Cricetulus griseus: one gene and its partners. The protein of the gene in region 5 interacts with the protein of the main gene of each other region in a biochemical or structural test. Links are inferred from orthologs where the notes say so. Each region holds a gene or a part of one and is shown on either strand. Other genes may lie near its edges.

Evidence for each region.
Region 1: the proteins of Vdr (region 5) and Snw1 form a complex in vitro, tested with the Homo sapiens proteins (2 studies listed by BioGRID, with this or other methods). The link is inferred for Cricetulus griseus from reciprocal best matches to the Homo sapiens genes VDR and SNW1.
Region 2: the proteins of Vdr (region 5) and Med1 form a complex in vitro, tested with the Homo sapiens proteins (5 studies listed by BioGRID). The link is inferred for Cricetulus griseus from reciprocal best matches to the Homo sapiens genes VDR and MED1.
Region 3: the proteins of Vdr (region 5) and histone lysine acetyltransferase CREBBP form a complex in vitro, tested with the Homo sapiens proteins (2 studies listed by BioGRID). The link is inferred for Cricetulus griseus from reciprocal best matches to the Homo sapiens genes VDR and CREBBP.
Region 4: the proteins of Vdr (region 5) and Hr form a complex in vitro, tested with the Homo sapiens proteins (2 studies listed by BioGRID and IntAct). The link is inferred for Cricetulus griseus from reciprocal best matches to the Homo sapiens genes VDR and HR.

What each region holds. Positions count from the first base shown.
Region 1 is NC_048598.1:116,339,225-116,342,741, reverse strand, and holds part of Snw1 (SNW domain-containing protein 1), read right to left. Parts: intron 2,133-3,517; coding exon 2,037-2,132; intron 1,948-2,036; coding exon 1,841-1,947; intron 605-1,840; coding exon 500-604; intron 1-499. UniProt on the Homo sapiens protein: Involved in pre-mRNA splicing as component of the spliceosome. As a component of the minor spliceosome, involved in the splicing of U12-type introns in pre-mRNAs.
Region 2 is NC_048600.1:111,279,687-111,282,113, forward strand, and holds part of Med1 (mediator of RNA polymerase II transcription subunit 1), read right to left. Parts: coding exon 1,139-2,427; 3' UTR 1-1,138. UniProt on the Homo sapiens protein: Component of the Mediator complex, a coactivator involved in the regulated transcription of nearly all RNA polymerase II-dependent genes.
Region 3 is NC_048600.1:42,570,961-42,574,477, forward strand, and holds part of histone lysine acetyltransferase CREBBP, read left to right. Parts: coding exon 1-58; intron 59-2,283; coding exon 2,284-2,445; intron 2,446-2,744; coding exon 2,745-3,026; intron 3,027-3,517. UniProt on the Homo sapiens protein: Acetylates histones, giving a specific tag for transcriptional activation. Mediates acetylation of histone H3 at 'Lys-18' and 'Lys-27' (H3K18ac and H3K27ac, respectively).
Region 4 is NW_023276807.1:225,197,162-225,201,204, reverse strand, and holds the start of Hr (lysine-specific demethylase hairless), read right to left. Parts: upstream 2,809-4,043; 5' UTR 2,672-2,808; intron 2,175-2,671; 5' UTR 2,051-2,174; intron 528-2,050; 5' UTR 1-527. UniProt on the Homo sapiens protein: Histone demethylase that specifically demethylates both mono- and dimethylated 'Lys-9' of histone H3. May act as a transcription regulator controlling hair biology (via targeting of collagens), neural activity, and cell cycle.
Region 5 is NC_048595.1:394,401,419-394,405,532, forward strand, and holds the start of Vdr (vitamin D3 receptor), read right to left. Parts: upstream 2,805-4,114; 5' UTR 2,724-2,804; intron 1-2,723.

The DNA of each region.
Region 1 (3,517 bases), on a different chromosome or scaffold from region 5:
GGATCCAGGTGTAAGACATTTTCTCACTTAGTGATCAATGGGGAAGGGCTCAGCCCATGATGTTATCCCTGGGCTGTTGGCCCTGGGTTCTATAGGCGGGCTTAGCAAGACATGGGAAGCAAGCCAGTAAACATCGCCCCTCCATAGCCCTCTGCATCAGCTCCTGCTTCAGGGATCCTGGCCTGTTTTGAGTTCCTGTCCTGTCCTGACTTCCTTCAGTGATAAACAGCAATGCTAAAGTGTAAGTCGAATAAATCCTTTCCTATCCAACTTGCTTTTTGGTCATGATGTTTCATCATAGCAATAGAAACCTCAATTAAGCCGGGCGGTGGTGGCACATGCCTTTAATCCCAGCATCGGGAGGCAGAGACAGGCAGACCCCTGAGAGTTCGAGGTCCGCCTCATCTACAAAGCTACACAGAAAAACCCTGTCTCAAAAAACAAAAACAAACAAACAAACAAAAAACCTCAATTAAGACACTCATGAAGCCATACTTACTTGAATCTTGGCGGCTCCATTGGATCTTTCTGCATTTCTACCATCCGAATAACCCTCTGTTTAGCTCCAGAGTTGAATGCTACTCCTTGCTGAGATGGTGTGTAGCTAAATAGATGAAAATTAAAGGTGTAATTAGTTCAAGCTTTTGGTAGGCATTTATCTTCTATTATAGTTCCACATGACTATACTTTCAATTCTTTTCAGGAAGTACTGACATAAAATCACCATACATTTAGGCAGGGCAGTCAGAAGCAGACCAGAAAAGAAACAGAAGTGAAATCAAACAAAATATGCACTTAAGTGGTTATTGACTTCCCTCTTCATCCTTTCCACATTCCACCTGGGAAATACACCTGTCCAGCTTCCCCAGGTCTAAAACTAACACCTGCTTTTAAGTCTACATTATAGAATAAAATTGCCAGGGCTGAGAGATGGCTCAGCAGTTAAGAGCACTGGCTGCTCTTCCAAAGTTCAATTCCCAGAACCCACATGGCTGCTCACCACTGCCTGCAACTTCAGTTCCTGCAACTCTTCCTCTGGCCTCGTTGGGCACTGGGCATGCAGGCAAAACATACATACATATATAATAACAATAAATAAATGAGTAAAAGTTTTTTAAAGAAAGGAAAATAGTTACAATAGTATGCCCACTGGCAACATGCAATGTATGCTGTAAAAACTGCAGCAGCAGCCCTAACTCAAAATTTTCCCTTAACATCTAGTTCCAATCATTCTTCACAAAGACAGTCCAGTAAAGGCCCTCAACATTTAGCAGCATTATAAAAGTTTATTAAATATAATCAAAAACTATAAACAATTGTCGTTTGGGTCATATACCATAGGTAACAATTATTTTCTAAAAAACTGAAAATCAAGGCGGTGGTAGAGCAGGCCTTTAGTCCCAGCACTCAGAAGGCAGAGGCAGGTTGATCTCTGTGAGTTCGAGGCCTGCCTCCCGAGTGCTGGGACCGTTAACATCTTAATGTAGGGATTAAAAAAAAAACTTCTGGGGACTGAGAGATGGCTCAGTGGTTTGGGAGGTCCTGAGTTCCCAGCACCCACATGGTGGCTCAGGACCATTTTTATGGAATTCAATGTCACCTTGTGTCTGATTCCCTTTCCTGTCCTGTAGGCATACATGCAAACAGAGCACTCTACACTAAATAAATAAACCTGAAAATTAAAAACAAACACACAAAAAAAGCCTTTTGCAAACTAGAGTTGATAGGCTTCAAAGGTCATTAAGACAATGCATTTGAACTGGCTTTGTAAGCTGGTGAGTCTTCAAAATCCCACCTAGGGAGTCTGACATGCAACTAACACTTCCAGCAGGGTGCATACCGGATATACTGAGCAGGAGCCAGCTTGTCAGCTGCACGAACAGGCATGGCTGCAGCAACCTTCTGCGACACAGACTTCTCCAAGGCTACTCTTGTCTTCTCTGTTATCTGAGATGAGAAGCAGCACGGTGAGCAGTTGGAAATTAATAAGGACACAAAGTCATCTAAAATAATCACATACACCAACCCCTAGTTACCTCTTTAATAGCCTCTTCATCAGGCCTTTGCAGGTCTGGATCATCTGCATTCATAACCTCCTTTGGAACCAGGTCAGTGTACTTGCTGTAAATGACCTAAAAGTGTTCAAACACAAGCAGCTTAGGAACACACAGGGTGGAGGGAAGCAGCCTCATTAAGTCGCTGTACATGTCAACATGTCCTTTCAGCATATTTACGCATTTAGGATACTCAGTTTTGTCGTTCAGATTTTAAAACTAAAGGAGCTTAAAATATGTACACAAATTGCTGCCCTGGCTCCAAGATGATCACTTTCCCTTGACCCCATGCATTTAAATTATTTGAAATCTTCTAATCAAGTCAGTATCCAAATACATTCTGCCAACAAAATCTTATGCATCAGTGATCTCTATTTTTGAGGCTCACTAGGACTTGAAATTAATGATGATATAAATTGCCTATAGCACCATTATCCTGGATTAAAAACTCATCAGAAATTTAAGTCCGGTTACTAAATAATTTCCAAATTCACTGGGCCTAGAAAATTCCATTGCCCTCATCCTATTTATAATGTTTCTGTTTTCTGGAATCAATTCTATTCACAAATTAGGAAAGTGAAAATGAACAAAAAGAAAAAACCCAGAATATTTTCTTCTACAAGAGTCAGAAAAAACAAAAATATATTTATATATGTGTTCTAGTTTCATTTCTGTCTGTTATAGCCTAACCAAAAGAAAATCAGGGAGGAAAGGGTTTATTTGGCTTATAATTCCAAGTTAGAGTCTATTATTGAGAGACGTCAAGGCAGGAACTCAAGCGTCTAGTCACATTATATCCAGTCAAGTGCAGGGAGAAATCAATGACTCTGCCGCTTGCTCTCATTTAGTTTTCGCCTGACTCACATAGTGGGGAACCCATCTGCCTAAGGGATAGTGGTGCCGACAATGGGCTGTCTTCTTTTATCAGTCATCAAGACAATCCCTTACAGACATGCCCACAGGCCAACCTAATTTAGACAAGTACTCAACTGAAGCTCCCTTCCCAGTGATTCAGGTTGTAGCAAATTGACAATCAAAATTAATCACCCCAATACGTAAATTGCATCAGGACCAACACCTTCCTTTTACCTTTTAGGCTGATGCTGGTGTAATGCGCTTTTGAAACAGATCATTTACTTGCCTGCTATCTATACTTCCCAAGTACCTCCATTAAAATGTACATGGCAGACTTTAAAGAAAAAAAAAAAAAAACGATACTAGAAATTTTAACCAATAGTTTAGATTTTAATACTTTTATTAGAAATTCTTTGGCACACATACATACCAAGAACAACTTATGGGGCAGGAGAGATGGCTCAGCAGTTAAAAACATTTTCTGTTCTTACAAAGGACCATGGTTCAGTTCCCAGAACCCACGAGGTGGCTCGACAGTCTGTAACTTTGGTTCCAGGGGATCTAACACTTTCTTCTATTATTTTTTATTTTTATTCTATTATTTTTTT
Region 2 (2,427 bases), on a different chromosome or scaffold from region 5:
TCAAGTGAGCTTGAAATTGTTTTAAGTGAACTATGGCTGCATTTTTTAAAACTGTTTCTCTCGGGGGGCATACAGTAGAGTGACTGAAGTCTGAACTCCTCTTTCTTGTGATGAAGAGAAAGAGTCCAGCTCATAGGAATTGCATCAGCTCTCCCGCAAACATGATGCTGGGATGTAGATTTGGCACATGTGGAACTAGGAGAACTATTAATTCTGTAATGGTTTTCATACCATAGGGTATTGAATCTGAAAACATATTTATACTCCCAAAAGCCACCCTTCCTTTTTAACGAAAAAAGATAAATCTTTTAACTGCATAGGGAGGTAATTCCTATTATTCCTATGATGTCTGAACCCTGTGAAAAACCTCTGAAGATAATAGTTTTGGTTTTTCTATTTAACTCCAAAGACTGGCTCTGATTAGCCTGTGTGGGCTTGATGCAGCAACATCAGCAAAAACTGCAAGCTCCCCACCATGAAACAAACCTTGCCCTTCCTGCCTATCATTCTGAACCATAACCTTCATAGATTTAAGAACAAACATTGCATAAAAACAAACATTAAGGATTAAAATATTACAAATAAATAGCTAAAATAATTTTCCCTCCCCAATCACTCCTAAGAAACAGACACCAAAACTTTAAGTGTCCAAAACTGTCAAAGTCCTTCCCTTGCCCATGCTTCAAATGGACAACCACCAAAGGTGAACAACCTTCATGCAAATGCATCAAGGAATGTATTGCTTTTTTTCATTTTCTGCCCAGCCCTTCAAATACATGCACTAAAATGAGTTTAAAGCATGTCCTGAAAATGGAAAAAGGGAGAAAAAAATATATATGAATATTTCCCACAACATTTTTCCCACCCTTCCCTCTCTATACCCTTTCCCACCCCCTCCCTTTCTTAAGCAAGTATTTTTTAACATTTCTTTCTGGCAAAGAAATATGACTTGTTGGTGAACGACCAACCCTATGGTCCCTTTAGTAGGGTTTAGATATACTTTTAAAATGTACCCAGCTTGGTGTAGAGGCCATGCCCAACAGGACTCTTAAGCCTATCTGACTCACCCCTTGTGTTGGTTTACATGTAAATATATCTAATTTCTTCTCTGGACATATCTGTTTAGAAAATAACGTTCTTAGTTGCCAATCAGGGCCACATCCATAAGATCATCGTCTTCCTCCCCCATCATAAAGTCAGGGCTGAGCCTTGAAGGCCTGTCTGCAGATAAGATTGGGTTATTTGTCATAGACAGTGTCTGATCTGAGGAAATGGGCGATTTAGACCAATTCTCTGGCTTGATGCTGTGAGATTTTTTCTTGTCTCTGTCTTTGTCTCTGTCCCGGTCTCTGTCTTTGACTTTCTTCTTTTCCTTTTTGTGCTTCTTATGCTTCTCTGTGCTGTATTCTGGAAGAGGTCGGATACCGTCATCTGAGCTGGGACTGTTCTGGTAAGATTTTTCTGCTATGGAGGAACCTGACTCACTTTCACTGTCCACATTCTGGGGCGTGTATGCTGGAGACTTACTGTGGCTGGGAGAACCACGTTCATGCTTTGGAGTGGAACCACTGATCAATGGAGAACCATAGTTTTTTGAGGAGGCTATCTGTGGCCTGAGCCCTTCTCCACTACTTTCTCCAGGTTTCTGTAGAGTCACTTTGGCTTTAATGCTAGGGGAGCCTCCATCATGTTTGCTGATAATAATTTTTGCCACACCCGTGCTCCCCACATTTTTTGACTCTGAGGTCTTCTTAGAAGAATCCACTGAGCCTCCTGAAGTAGAAACCTTTGATTTGTCTTTATCGCTTTTCTCACGCTTGCTCTGGAATTCCCCTCCTGACATGTTATGTTTGGAGGACATGGGATGGTTAGAAGAGTTTGTGCTTACTCCCATCTGACTGTCCATTGGATCCTCACCCCCAGGCCCACTGGTAACAACCCCATGCTTCAGTTTATCTATGACAGCTGTCAAGGAAGGCTTCTTATTCCTACTGGGAGACTTCCCTTTGGAACTCCCATGCTGATTCTGAGAGGAGGACATGGAAGAACCACTTGAGGAAAATGAGGAGGAAGATGGTGTACAAGAATTAGATGCTGGGGGAGTTTTCTGAGACAATGAGCCTGAGGATCCTGACCCTGAAGATGACTTCATGCCAGAGCTTGAACTAGTTCCTGACATGTGGGAACCACTAGAACCTGAACTGATAGGGGACTTGGCTTTAGAGGATGGGGGGGTCCCAGGAACAGGTTTCATTGGAGAGGCAAGCTTATCTGAGCCTCCAGGAGGCCTTGAATGAGAAGGGGATATGTTTGGTTTACTTATAGAAGGATTCATAAGTGATGATGGCTTGCCTTGAGGTTTCATCTTGGTACTGCTAGATCCACTGCTCAGTCCATGTTTGGTAATGGGAGAGGAGCCTGGCTTCC
Region 3 (3,517 bases), on a different chromosome or scaffold from region 5:
ACAAGAAGAAGAAGAGAGGAAAAAAGAAGAGAGTACTGCAGCTAGTGAAACCCCTGAGGTACTGCCCCCACTAGAGCTGTGCCACCAGAATGGCAGGCTGGAAACTACATTTCTGTTGGGTTCTTTCTGTGGATGTTCTCATATGCATGTAGGGCATCACCATCAACAGCAGTAAGTGGGTATGGGGTCTCTATACAAGAGATACTCCTATGGGGTACCATGGTTAGACATAGAGAGTGGAGGGAAGGTGGTGCTCTGTTGGAGCCAGGACACTACATGGAGATGGATGAAAGTTACTTCCCAGATAAACTGAAGTTCCAAGCCTTGGACTGCATATTGTGGCAACTACTCATTTTGCGGTTTGTTTTTTTGTTTGTTTTTTGTTATTGTTGTTTTGGTTTGGTTTGGTTTGGTTTTTTGTTTTTTGGGGGGTTTTTTTTTGGCTCTCAACCTGTTCACTGTTTATTACCCCTGTGTACCAGGAGTGCAGAGTAAACTAAACAAGACCATGTCCCTTCCCTAAGAGGTATTTTATACTAGGAGAAACAGGAAGTGCCTGGAGAGCTGCATCGTGTGTTTTCAGGTGATGGGGCAACTCTGAGAAGAAAGGATTTTAAGGTATAGAAGACAGCAGGAGGACTGAGGGTAGCTTTGGAAACTGACATAGGAGCTGGAATCCCACTTGAGTTACAGGGGATGGAGTCTTCCACGACGAGGAAGAAATATTTTATATTGAAGGTCACAAGGCATTGTGTTATTGCCAGGTAGAGCTGACAGTGGCTTATATTGGTTATAGTTATAGGTTCTCTAGATGTGTGCAGTGACTTCTGTGGAGAGTGTTTGTGGCATGTGTATAGCTGGAACTCACTTTGATGAGAGAGAAGCAAAGAGTGGCTTGTGTTGCTCCAAAGGAAGTGGCCGAGATTGGGCCCCATTGGGTTTGGAGGTGCTGGCAGCATGTAGCAACACCTGAAGCCTCGCATCAGCATGCATGCTCAGGGCACATATGATTCGTTGAATGGTTACAATGTGCCAAGCACTGTGCATGTTGAGCTATGTCTTCAAAAGGACAGCTTTAACAGAGAAAGCACATACCAGGGTCAAACAAGAGTTTGTGTCCTGGCGGTTCCCAAAAACTCCCAAATTGTCCCTATTGTCTGACTTTCTCTCACTGGAGCCTCTACAAATTGGTCTGTCCTTTGACCCTCTCAGTAACCTGGCTAGTTTTTACTATGGTTTGATTTCTTACCCTACTGCAAAACAGTTCCCAAGGAAACTGGAGAAGAGAGGCCATATTCAAAATGGCTGACTCAGAGTACATTGCAGTGGAGACCAAGTGACCAGGAGGCCACTGGCCATGCCAGGCCCCAGAGTAAAGGTAGCCTGACTCAGAACCATTTGTCTGAGCTTGTAAAGGACAGCAGTGATGGCATCATTTGAGGAAGTGGATTGTGGGTCCATCTGTGGGAGTCACTGGTGCACAGCACAGCAGTACTACAGGATAAAGAAGTTCTCTTGGTCAGATCAAATGAGTGGGTTTTTTTTGTTTGTTTCTTTTGTATTTTTGTTTTTGTTTGTTTGTTTGTTTGTTTGTTTGTTTGTTTGTTTTTTTTGTTTGTTTGTTTGTTTTTTTTGGTCTTTGGAGATAGGGTTTCTCTGTGGCTTTGGAGCCCGTCCTGGAACTAGCTCTTGTAGACCAGACTGGTCTCAAACTCACAGAGATCCACCTGCTTCCCGAGTGCTGAGATTAAAGGCATGCGCCACCAACACCCGGCTCTAATTACCTTTTTTTATGTTGTTTTCTAAGTGGTTAATACTCTAAGTTATTTTCATATATTAGGCTCATTGGAGCACTTGAATTGGGGAGTGTATCCCTGTTAGACCTCAGCAAAGTAGTAACAACGGGTTGCAAGGAAAGCTTAGATATGTTCTACCTAGTGCAAGTGTTGAGTGGGACCTGAAAAGTCAGCTGAGTGTGCATGCTTCTCTTGGTGCTGCCCACCATTTGAAACTTCCCCCAGTCTTTTGAAAATTCATACAGATGAGCAGGCCTACCCAAGACAAAGAAGCAGGTGCTGAGCATACAGGATGGAACAACATGGCACTCCTGTCTAGGGAATTATGAGGAGTGGTAAGAAAACTTCCTCTTAGAATCTAAGCTTAGATTCTGAATAACAGGACATACAAGGTGCCAGTCTAGTGGCAGCATGCAGCCCAGGTACATATGGGGTCTCTACAGCCAGGAAATGGATGTTGTTGTGACAGTTTTGCATGTCATTACAGGGCAGTCAAGGTGACAGCAAGAATGCCAAGAAAAAGAACAATAAAAAAACCAACAAAAACAAAAGCAGCATTAGCCGAGCCAACAAGAAGAAGCCCAGCATGCCCAATGTGTCCAACGACCTGTCCCAGAAGCTGTATGCCACCATGGAGAAACATAAGGAGGTAGTGGCATAGTCTTATGGGAGGTTCTGGGAATACTCAGAACCGAGAGGAACAGCAGGCACCAGGCCTCCTGTGCAAATCTTTGGTAGAAGCAAATCTTTGGTAGAAATCTTTTATAGAAGGTGGAACAGTAGTTTGTTAATATATTGTGTGGCTTGTCATCAGTTATGTTCCATCCCAGGAAACCGGGGCCTCAAGCAGGCCCTGCGTGTGGTTAGCCTCCTATTACATAGGAATATGTGGCCCAGCCCTTGGCACAGTCTGCCTCTCTGTGGGGTTAATGCGGCTCCTCCTTTCAGGTCTTCTTTGTGATTCATCTGCATGCTGGGCCTGTTATCAGCACTCAGCCCCCCATCGTGGACCCTGACCCCCTGCTCAGCTGTGACCTCATGGATGGGCGTGATGCCTTCCTCACCCTGGCTAGAGACAAGCACTGGGAGTTCTCTTCCTTACGCCGCTCCAAATGGTCCACTCTGTGCATGCTGGTGGAACTGCACACACAGGGCCAGGACCGCTTTGTCTATACCTGCAATGAGTGCAAACACCATGTAGAGACACGCTGGCACTGCACTGTGTGTGAGGTAAGTCCCATCACCTCCCTCCTGGCCTTCCCCCATAGGTAGTATTCTAGCATTGTCCTCTGCAGCATTGGGTGCAGGTGTTAACATCTGTGCACAACATTGTACTGTGTCTCTCACCATGGGGAACCAGGCATGAGTGACACCCTTGTTGTCCTCTTACCTGTGCTCTTGTCTGCTACAGCTACAGTCCATGTACTGAGGCATCCTGACTGTAGAAAGACACTCCGAGACACTTTGGTTCTACAGGGATCCTGGTGTATTTATCTCTTCCTAGCCTTGCTAAGGGATTAGGGACACATTTTGCCCTGTTTGCAGGTTGGCACCTTTGATGAGGTCCAGTGGCATGATCAGCATGTGATCAGAAGACTTGATGGTCGAGTATGCCACTGGCAGGCTCACTGTCTCCTGCCCCATGGGTAGCTTGTCTTCAGCCATGCAGAGCTTGTCCTGGGCAAAACAAAGGCTGCCTAGCCCTTCCTTCTTTCTTACCT
Region 4 (4,043 bases), on a different chromosome or scaffold from region 5:
CATGGGCCGGCTTCGGGGCGTTCTCCCTCTTTCTACTCAGCGCGCTCGCGCTCTCTTTCCCCCCGGGCGTCGGGGGCGCTCTAGGGCCGCAGGTTGGAGGGGTCGGACTCCGGGATTTGCAGGATGCGGCACACGGCGCGGATGGGCCGCACCAGCTTCTGGGCCAAGGCTGTAGGTTGCGCCATGGGACGCCGAGACTCCGTGCTGCGCTTTGAGGAGGGTCGGGCCGGGGCTAGGGAGCGGTGTCCCTGGAGGGAGAGAAGAAACCGGGCCGGGGGGAACGCGCGCCCCGGTCGGAGATGGCTGAGTGGGGGGAAAGGCCGAGAGGCCGGGGAAGGGGGTCGTGCCTGGAAGTGGGGGGCCGATGCCGAGAGCCAGGAGAGAGGCACCAATGAGGGCGCAGCACCGCGCAGCGCGGCTAATGGAGGGAGAGCGCAGCGGAGAGCGCAGCAGGACCTCTGATCGCCATCGCCAGACGCGCAACTGAGAGTGGGGAAGCTGCTCCGCCGGTTTCCTCCTCCAGCACCCTGCGGGAAACAGGAGCCCGTGATTCGGCGGCCCCGCCTGGGCCTGCCCCCTTCTGAGCCCCGGGGGCTTCCGCCAACGCCCCGGCGATGCCACCGGCTGCGCACGGGGAGAATGAGCCCTTTGTTCCCCCCTCCCCCCGCGGCACCCGGGCGCCTGCCGAGAGAGGCTCCCCTGGGGCAGTGTGCCAGCTTCCCAGCCGCCCCACCCTCCCGTGGGCCCGGCCCGGAGCCTGGCAGGCGGGCAGCACCCCCACTATAGGTGCCAAGCCCGGGAACTGGAGCAAAGGGCGGGAGGGGCCGGACCAGGCCACGGTGAGGCGGGGTGCCCCCCGGGGTGCCAGGGCGGGGCGGCAGGGAGGGGTCAGTGCCAGAGCTGGCAGGGGCAGTCGGGTTCTCACGGGTCAGTGATGGGTGCTACGACCCACGCCAGCAGGCCCGTGCCTGCTGGACCACTCTCTCCCTGTCCTTTCCAGCTTTGGGCACACCCCAATGGCTGGTGTCTTCCCTACCACATTCTTAATCTTCACCTGCCCAAGCCCCTCTTCCCAGCATCCCTCTCAGAGCACAAGGTTACTCGAAGTGTTATGCTTTGGAATCTGGGAGGGCCTGCCGTCTGGTCTGTTCCCTGGTCTAAGGGACTTGATTTCTACCAAGTGTCCAGAGGTGATGGGACCAGACGCATACAACTATCCCAAGCTCCCGTTGGGGTTGTCTGCTGGGCTGCCCCATCCTACTGTTCCTGGTGCTCCCAGGCCCAGCCTGGAGAGTAGCCCATGGGAGTGGCTCCTGGGAGGGAACAGCAAGTAGGAGAGGAAATGGGCAAACAGGGCACCCTCCACCCGAGGAAGCATCCCTGCTCTTCTGCGGGGGTGGTTCCAGAGCGCACACACAAACAGACAGATTCAGACAGACACACACAGAAACCCACACGCCCAACCAGTGCTTCCCTTCCCTGAAGGCACCCACCTCCTGCCCCTCTACTCCCCTGCCTCTCTGTGCCCAGTCCGAAACAGAAGCAATACCACCTACTTCCCCATCCCCGTAGATGGGATGAATTCTGGAGGCCACAACCTGATCCCAAGTTACACCACCATCTCTCAAGAGGGTGTCCATGAAGAGCCTAAGGTCTTTCTCTCAAAAGGGACAAGAATGAAGACAAGAAGCCTTTCACCAACTGTTGAGGACAGAATGGGTACTTGGGAGAGGAGGGCCATACAGCTGAAACTGTTCAGATGTGGGCCTTGTTGACACAGATCTTCCTAGCCCCTCACCTTCACAGAGGCCAAGTTGGAAGGGGGCAGGCTGGCAGGAATTGTTCACTTGATTGAGTTTTTCCTACTCCTTTTCTTATCCATTCCCTTGGGGGTGACCTGACTCTAGTGTGCCATGGAGATGAATGAGGAGGGTCTAACAGGAACTGGAGCCCCAAGGCTCCAGCCTGGCCTCTAGCTCCCAGCCTGGCTCCTGGGCTAGGTGGTGGGCTGGGATTTGCCTGTGGTCCCAATCTAAGTCCCTTGGCCTACCTTAGCTGAGGAGGCCTGTGGGAGAATCGTTGTTTGGGGGAAGGTCCTGTGGCTTGAGGTCTGGAAGAGGCCAGAGTAGAAGCTTGTGCTGTCCAGAGTCCCAGGGGCCTGTGGCTGTCTGCCCCTAAGGTAATAGGGACTGTCTCAGGGGAGCCGGACAGATACCCACCCCCACACCTCCAGCTGCCGTATCTGCCTGTCAGATTATAGTGCCTGGACTAGACCAGAGCTCTCAGGGCAGTCTTCTGGAATGTTCAGGGGTTAGTGGAGATTAAGGTGGGAGAAGTACCACCCGCATCCAACCACATTCCTCATCCTTGCATTACAGCCTGTGCCACAGGCCAGAGTCCTTGTAGCTGACTGCTGTGCCTGAGGATGGAGCATAGCTGAGGACACATACAAAAGACACAAACACGGGGGGGGGGGAGCCACCCACTGTGTGGTCACAAGACCAGACCATGGACCTGGTAAGCTGGCTATCACCCCCAGACTCACATGGGTCCAGTCATAGCCCACACCGACCCCTCACGCACTGACACACATGCTGACACACACATTCCTGCTGACAGGCACAGCCTCACTCACAACCGGCTGCCCTTTCTCCACCCCAGAGCCCCTTACCTGGGCAAGCACAGTGCCCCCTGCCCAGGGGTGGGCAGCAGGCAGGGCGGGGGAAGGAGCCCCGGAGAGTCAGGCCAAGCTGCCACTAATCCGGGCTGGGAGAGGGGGGGCACACACGTCAGAGCGGGGACTGCCGGGTGGAGGGCATCTGAGGACATCCCCTCCCACACACGCGGCCGTCTGGGCACCTAGCCCTGCTTCCCCAGCCCCTCCATCCTTCAGACAGCTGAGGCTGGCCTCCCCCCACCCCACCCCCACCCCTGTGGCCATGCCTGAGGTGGGGGACACGGAGGGGGGGGATGATACCGGGAGAAATCTCCCAGGACAAATCTCCTAGGACCAGGGGGAGGGGACAGGGAAGGGAAGTGTGGAGATACTGCTGCCAGAGCCAGGAGGAAGCTTGGTGGTAGATATTATCCTCTCCTCTGGCCCACCCACCCACATGGTTGACCTAATTCCTCTTCTGGAGCCCTCCTTCTTTCTAGCCCTCCCCCACTGCCATCTAGATTCCATTGTGTTCCAGGCTGAGCTTGGGACTTGTGTGCCCAGCAATGTCAGCTCTGTCTTCAAGATCCCCCAGCCCTAGGCACCAGCCTTCTGCGGTAGAGATCACCTGTTAATGTGCCCCAATCCCAGGTGCTGGAGAGAAATGGGGACAAGAAGCTGTGCAGTTACCCCCAATCCCCTCCAGTGGAGGGCAGTGCCTGCCAGGACCCCCAACTCAGCCTGGGCCAGGGTCATGCGGGATCTAGTGGCTTAGTATGCTGCTGAGAGTGGCAGCTAAAAATACAGCCATGGGTTCCTGTGTGTTGTGACGTAGAAGCCAGAGAAGGGGAAAGTGACTAGGACAATGAAGAGCCACAGGCCAGAGGGACGGTGATGGGGCAAGAGGCTGAGGGCTGAAAGGATGGCAGGAGTTGAGGCAGAGGGAGAAAGGAAGTTGAGAAGGAAGCAGGTAACAGGCCAGGAAGGGTGGGAAAGGCTGAGGAGAAGGAACAGGACCAGGGCCCACAGAAAGGTTGTTCTAGGGACTGGCCTTCATGGGGTCAGGTCCTTTCCAATTTTGAGCCCACCCAAGAAGACAAGGCACCCTGGTATCAAGTAGAGGGTTGGTGGCCTTTGGAAGGCAAGAACATGGCTTAACCCCCACCCCACCTAAGAGGCCAGGCCAGAGGATCAGAGGTGGGTCAGTGACCCTCTCCAGAGGTGGATGGATAGTGCTGGGAGGGGTGTGCCTGGGTGGTTCTCAGAGAGGCGGAGCTGCTCTGAGAGATGTCCAGGTGATACCCAGTGTCCCAAGTCTCAGGCTTACATTTATGCTTGCCCAGAAAGCCTACAACTCGGACTTCTACTCAATTCTTCCTGTGTGGCC
Region 5 (4,114 bases):
CCTGGGTTTGGATGAGTAGATTTGCAGCTCTCCTGGGTTTGGGTTTATGTCTCTGCATGGCCACACACAAAACCCCCTTTAACTCATGAGCATCCCAGTTTGGACAGTAAATCACACAGTCACTAAGGAATGTTAAGGACAAATCAGAGAGCAGCAGCTACAAGTGAGGTCCTGCTGGTCTAGAGCAGCTGCCCAGCTGGCTTCAGCCCATCAGAGCCTTCGACTGGACAGCAGTGGAGATGGTGCCAGGGCTGCTGCTCCTCATGGAGCTCTCTTTGGAGGCAGAAGCCTGGCCTGCTGAGATCTGCCTGCTGACATCCCTTGGCAGCCTGGCACTATGCTGGGACACACAGGAGGCTCTTAATCAAATCTGGTTGTGTCCTTATTCCCTCTACCTGCATCCCAAACATCACAGCAGTGACAAGCAGAAGCTGGAGCCCTCTAACCCACCATCCAGCTACACATCAGAATGTGACCCAGGTACCCTGGCCTTGCCATTCTGCATAGACAGCAGCAGCCCAGACGCTGATTGTAGCCAATCCCTAGGATGTAGGGTGAAAAACTGTACAACAGAATTCTCCTGTATTGGGTAACTTCTTGGTCTAGCCCACCAGACCCTAGGCCAGTGGTTCTCAACCTGTGGGTCATGACCTCCACAAGAGGTCGGTCACATATCGGATATTCTGACATCAGATATTTAAACTACAATTCATAACAGTATCACAATTACAGTTATGAAGTAGCAACGAAATGATTTTATGGTTGGGGTCATCGTAATACGAGAAACTGTATTAAAAGGTCGCAGCATTAGGAAGGTTGGGAACCACTATCCTAGGCCTTCCTCTATTGAAGGCCTAAGCTTTGGATACCTGCAATCTGTGCTGAAGGCAGAGGTCCAGGGGGTTTTTGAGGGCTTCCAGAGGGCTCTGTCCCTCAAAGAGATCAGTTCATAGGTAGACAGGGGATGGAGCTGAGAAACGTCATTACAAATAAGCACAACATCCTGAAGCACAGGCATAGGATTGTATCTGGGGAAGTGTGAGGGGTCAGCTGGGCTGCCTGATTCTCTTCCTTTCTCTCCTTTCCCAGTCCCTTCTCCGTCTTGGTCAGGAACCAAGTCACGGCTGCTCAGGAATAGCCAAACCTAAAGCCGGAGCACAGAATGTGATTTCCTACCTCTTTACAGTTTGAGGCAATGTAACTGTGTCAGGCTCCCTGGGTTCCTCTCAAACAAGCTAGAAAAGGCTACTGAGTGGGGGCCCAGGTTACCCATTTCTGCTCAAGGGTCTCTAGTATCTAAAACAAAACCAGCAGAGGATTTCACTCTTACTACCTCCTGTTCTGGCTGCATGCCAGTACTGAAAAGTGTTCCACAGAGATCCACACAGTTCTCTCCAGTGTTAATCTGGGAAAGAAATAGCGATGGTTCCCAAATGTAAAATACCCTTAGCTCACAGAGTTGAGGACCTAGGTCCAGACAACCCCCTCTGCCTCTGAGAATCCACTCTTACTCCCTAGCCTGGGAAAAAACCTTGCTTGCCTTTTCTGCTCCCCAAACTCTCTTCCGATTTCTCCTCTATGCCTGCCTTACTAGGCAAGATGGCTCACTAACACAGTAGAAGTGGATCCAGTAGCTGGTAAGCCTATAATATTGGGATGTACCTCCAATCCCAGAGAACAGTCAAAGTCTCTTCTTGGTCACCTGGAATCAGCCCATGGCCATCAAATAACCATTGATGACACTCCCCCACCCCTGATGTCCATGAAGAAGATGGCCTTCCCCAGGACACTGGGGAAGAGCTGAACTCTGTCCAAGGGAACTTCTGCAATGCTCAGAAAATGCCTGCCCAACTGCTTGCCTGGGCTCTGGCCCCTCTGCTGCTCTGAGCCCAGACAGGAGGCTGACTCACTCACCACAAGGAGGAGCAGGAGGAGGAGGGAGAGGAGGAGGAGCAGGAGGAGGAAGAGGAGTGTGGCCTAGGCTCATAGAAGCAAGGCTCCCCCAGAACAGGCAGGCAGCCTCAGGTGGGTGATAGTGGTCGTGACGACAGTGGATCATGCAGTTCCCTTCCAAATACTCCCTCCGAACCTCACTCACCAAACAGAAACTATTTCTTAAATCCCTTCCTCAGTTTCCACACTGGCCCCTGAGTCCCTCTGGACGTCTGTGGACAGGCTTTTCTGATAAAGAAATCCAGTACACTAGGTCTCAAAGCACCGGCGGTTTTCGAAAGTTAACAAAAGAAAACTCCATTTAAAGGATTCTACTCCACCATCACAGGTGATCACACATGGGCCCAACTGGGTAATAAACAGGCTACTCACACTCCACCCCCAGAGACCTTAGCTACATCCACAGCCAATCACTTGCTTTCTTACTCCTCCATTCCACGCTAGAGCGCAGGTCCGAGGAAGGAAACAAACGCTTGTTGTCCGGTGAGAACTGTCCTAGCGAAGGACTCCTGCGCTGAGCCCCCCAAGCATCCCGGAAGGTGGCTGCCCCCTCTTCAACATCTCACGAACTTCAACTTTCTCAGACCTGGGTGCCCTCTCAGAGTTCCAACCTCATGGCACCACAGTCCGGATCTCAATCGCCAACTTTGCTACCGAAACTTGGTCTCTAGTTCTTGCCCCTGGGCACTAAGACCTCTCGACCCCGGACGCCCGCCCCTGAATCTAATCTCTCACCCTGAACCCGGTTCCCGCTGCTCCCTGATCCTCACCTGGTCCGGCGGGTGGACACGCTGCTTGGCGCTCCCGGCGTTTAGGGCTGGCTCGGCAGCTGCCTTTTGACAAGCAGAGACGGCTCAGCACCTGGCCCCGCCCCGCAAGGCCCCGCCCCCGGACCGCCCTGTTCCCTTAGCCACGCCCACCAGGTCCAGTCCTCTCCTGCCCTGAAACCTTCTTGACTTGGAGTCAACCACTGCACTGTCGCCTAGGAGACCCTGCTTTGTGAAAGGATCCACGACCTCCGGTCACAGCGAGGCGCAGGCTTCTGCCCTACTTGGGGCGGTCTTTCATGATTCCGTTCGTGCAGATCCATGTTTCTGCTTGCGGTGATCCGTGATGTATTCGCCACCTCACCCCCGCCCCGCTGCCGTGGTTCTACCCAGTCTGCTGCAGACGCCTTTGCCAGGTGCGTCACTCGCACCTGAGCTGACCCGGGACCCCGACGCCCGCGGCGCGCTGCGAGGAGCCTTTCTCCGTTCGCCGTTGGGAAATCGCCGGCCAGTTTCTGATGCTGGGCGCAAAGCCGGACTTCACCGGTTAGGACAAGCACAGGGGGACCCAAGTGGACTGGAGACTGGAGTTGTGAGCTCTCTCCTATCCGGCGGCTTAACCACAGCGAGGGGGCACGTTCCTGGCTAACTGCGATCTCATTCCAGCTGGCTTTGCCTCAGCTTCCCGGTTCTCTGCACCCCATCCCCCGATCCTCTCTTGCCATGAAGAACTCAGAGGTTCTAGATTTGGCAAATTTTGCAAGGTTACAGATGTCACACACTATGATTTGCTCCCACCATCACACTTCTAGTATGTCCTTCTCATCCTCCCCCAGTTCCTGGACCTCATCTGGCCCTCCAGACTCTGCTCTCTTTCATAGCTCTGTCCATCCCATCGAACCTTTGCCACCATCTCCAGGCAACAATGAGCCACCATAGAGTGTATTAGTCTGTCATATGGTTTGTTACCTTATAATAAGACACTTTGTATTTATACTGAACAAGAATTTTAGCCACCCAAGCTTTATTCCCAGTAAGTCATTTTATAACAGTGACAAAAGCAAGATTTCTTTCTCCTTGTTCTCCTAGAACCTTTTATTGTCTCCTGACTCCACATTTCCCTGGGTAGGTCCTGGAATAGAGAGAGATTGCTTTCTTACACTACCTTTCCCGGAAGCCTTGAGGGCAGGCAGTGGTCTCTGGTAACTATACTTCAGAGTTAACAGCTTTAAACCCCTCTAGACTGGCTGGGTGGAGGTGGCACACACCTTTAATCCCAGCACTCGGGAGGCAGAGGTAGGTGGATTTCTGTGAGTTCCAGGTCAGCCTGGTCTTTGGGGTAAATTCCAGGACAGCCAGAGTTACACAGAGAAACCCTGTCTTGAAAAACCAAA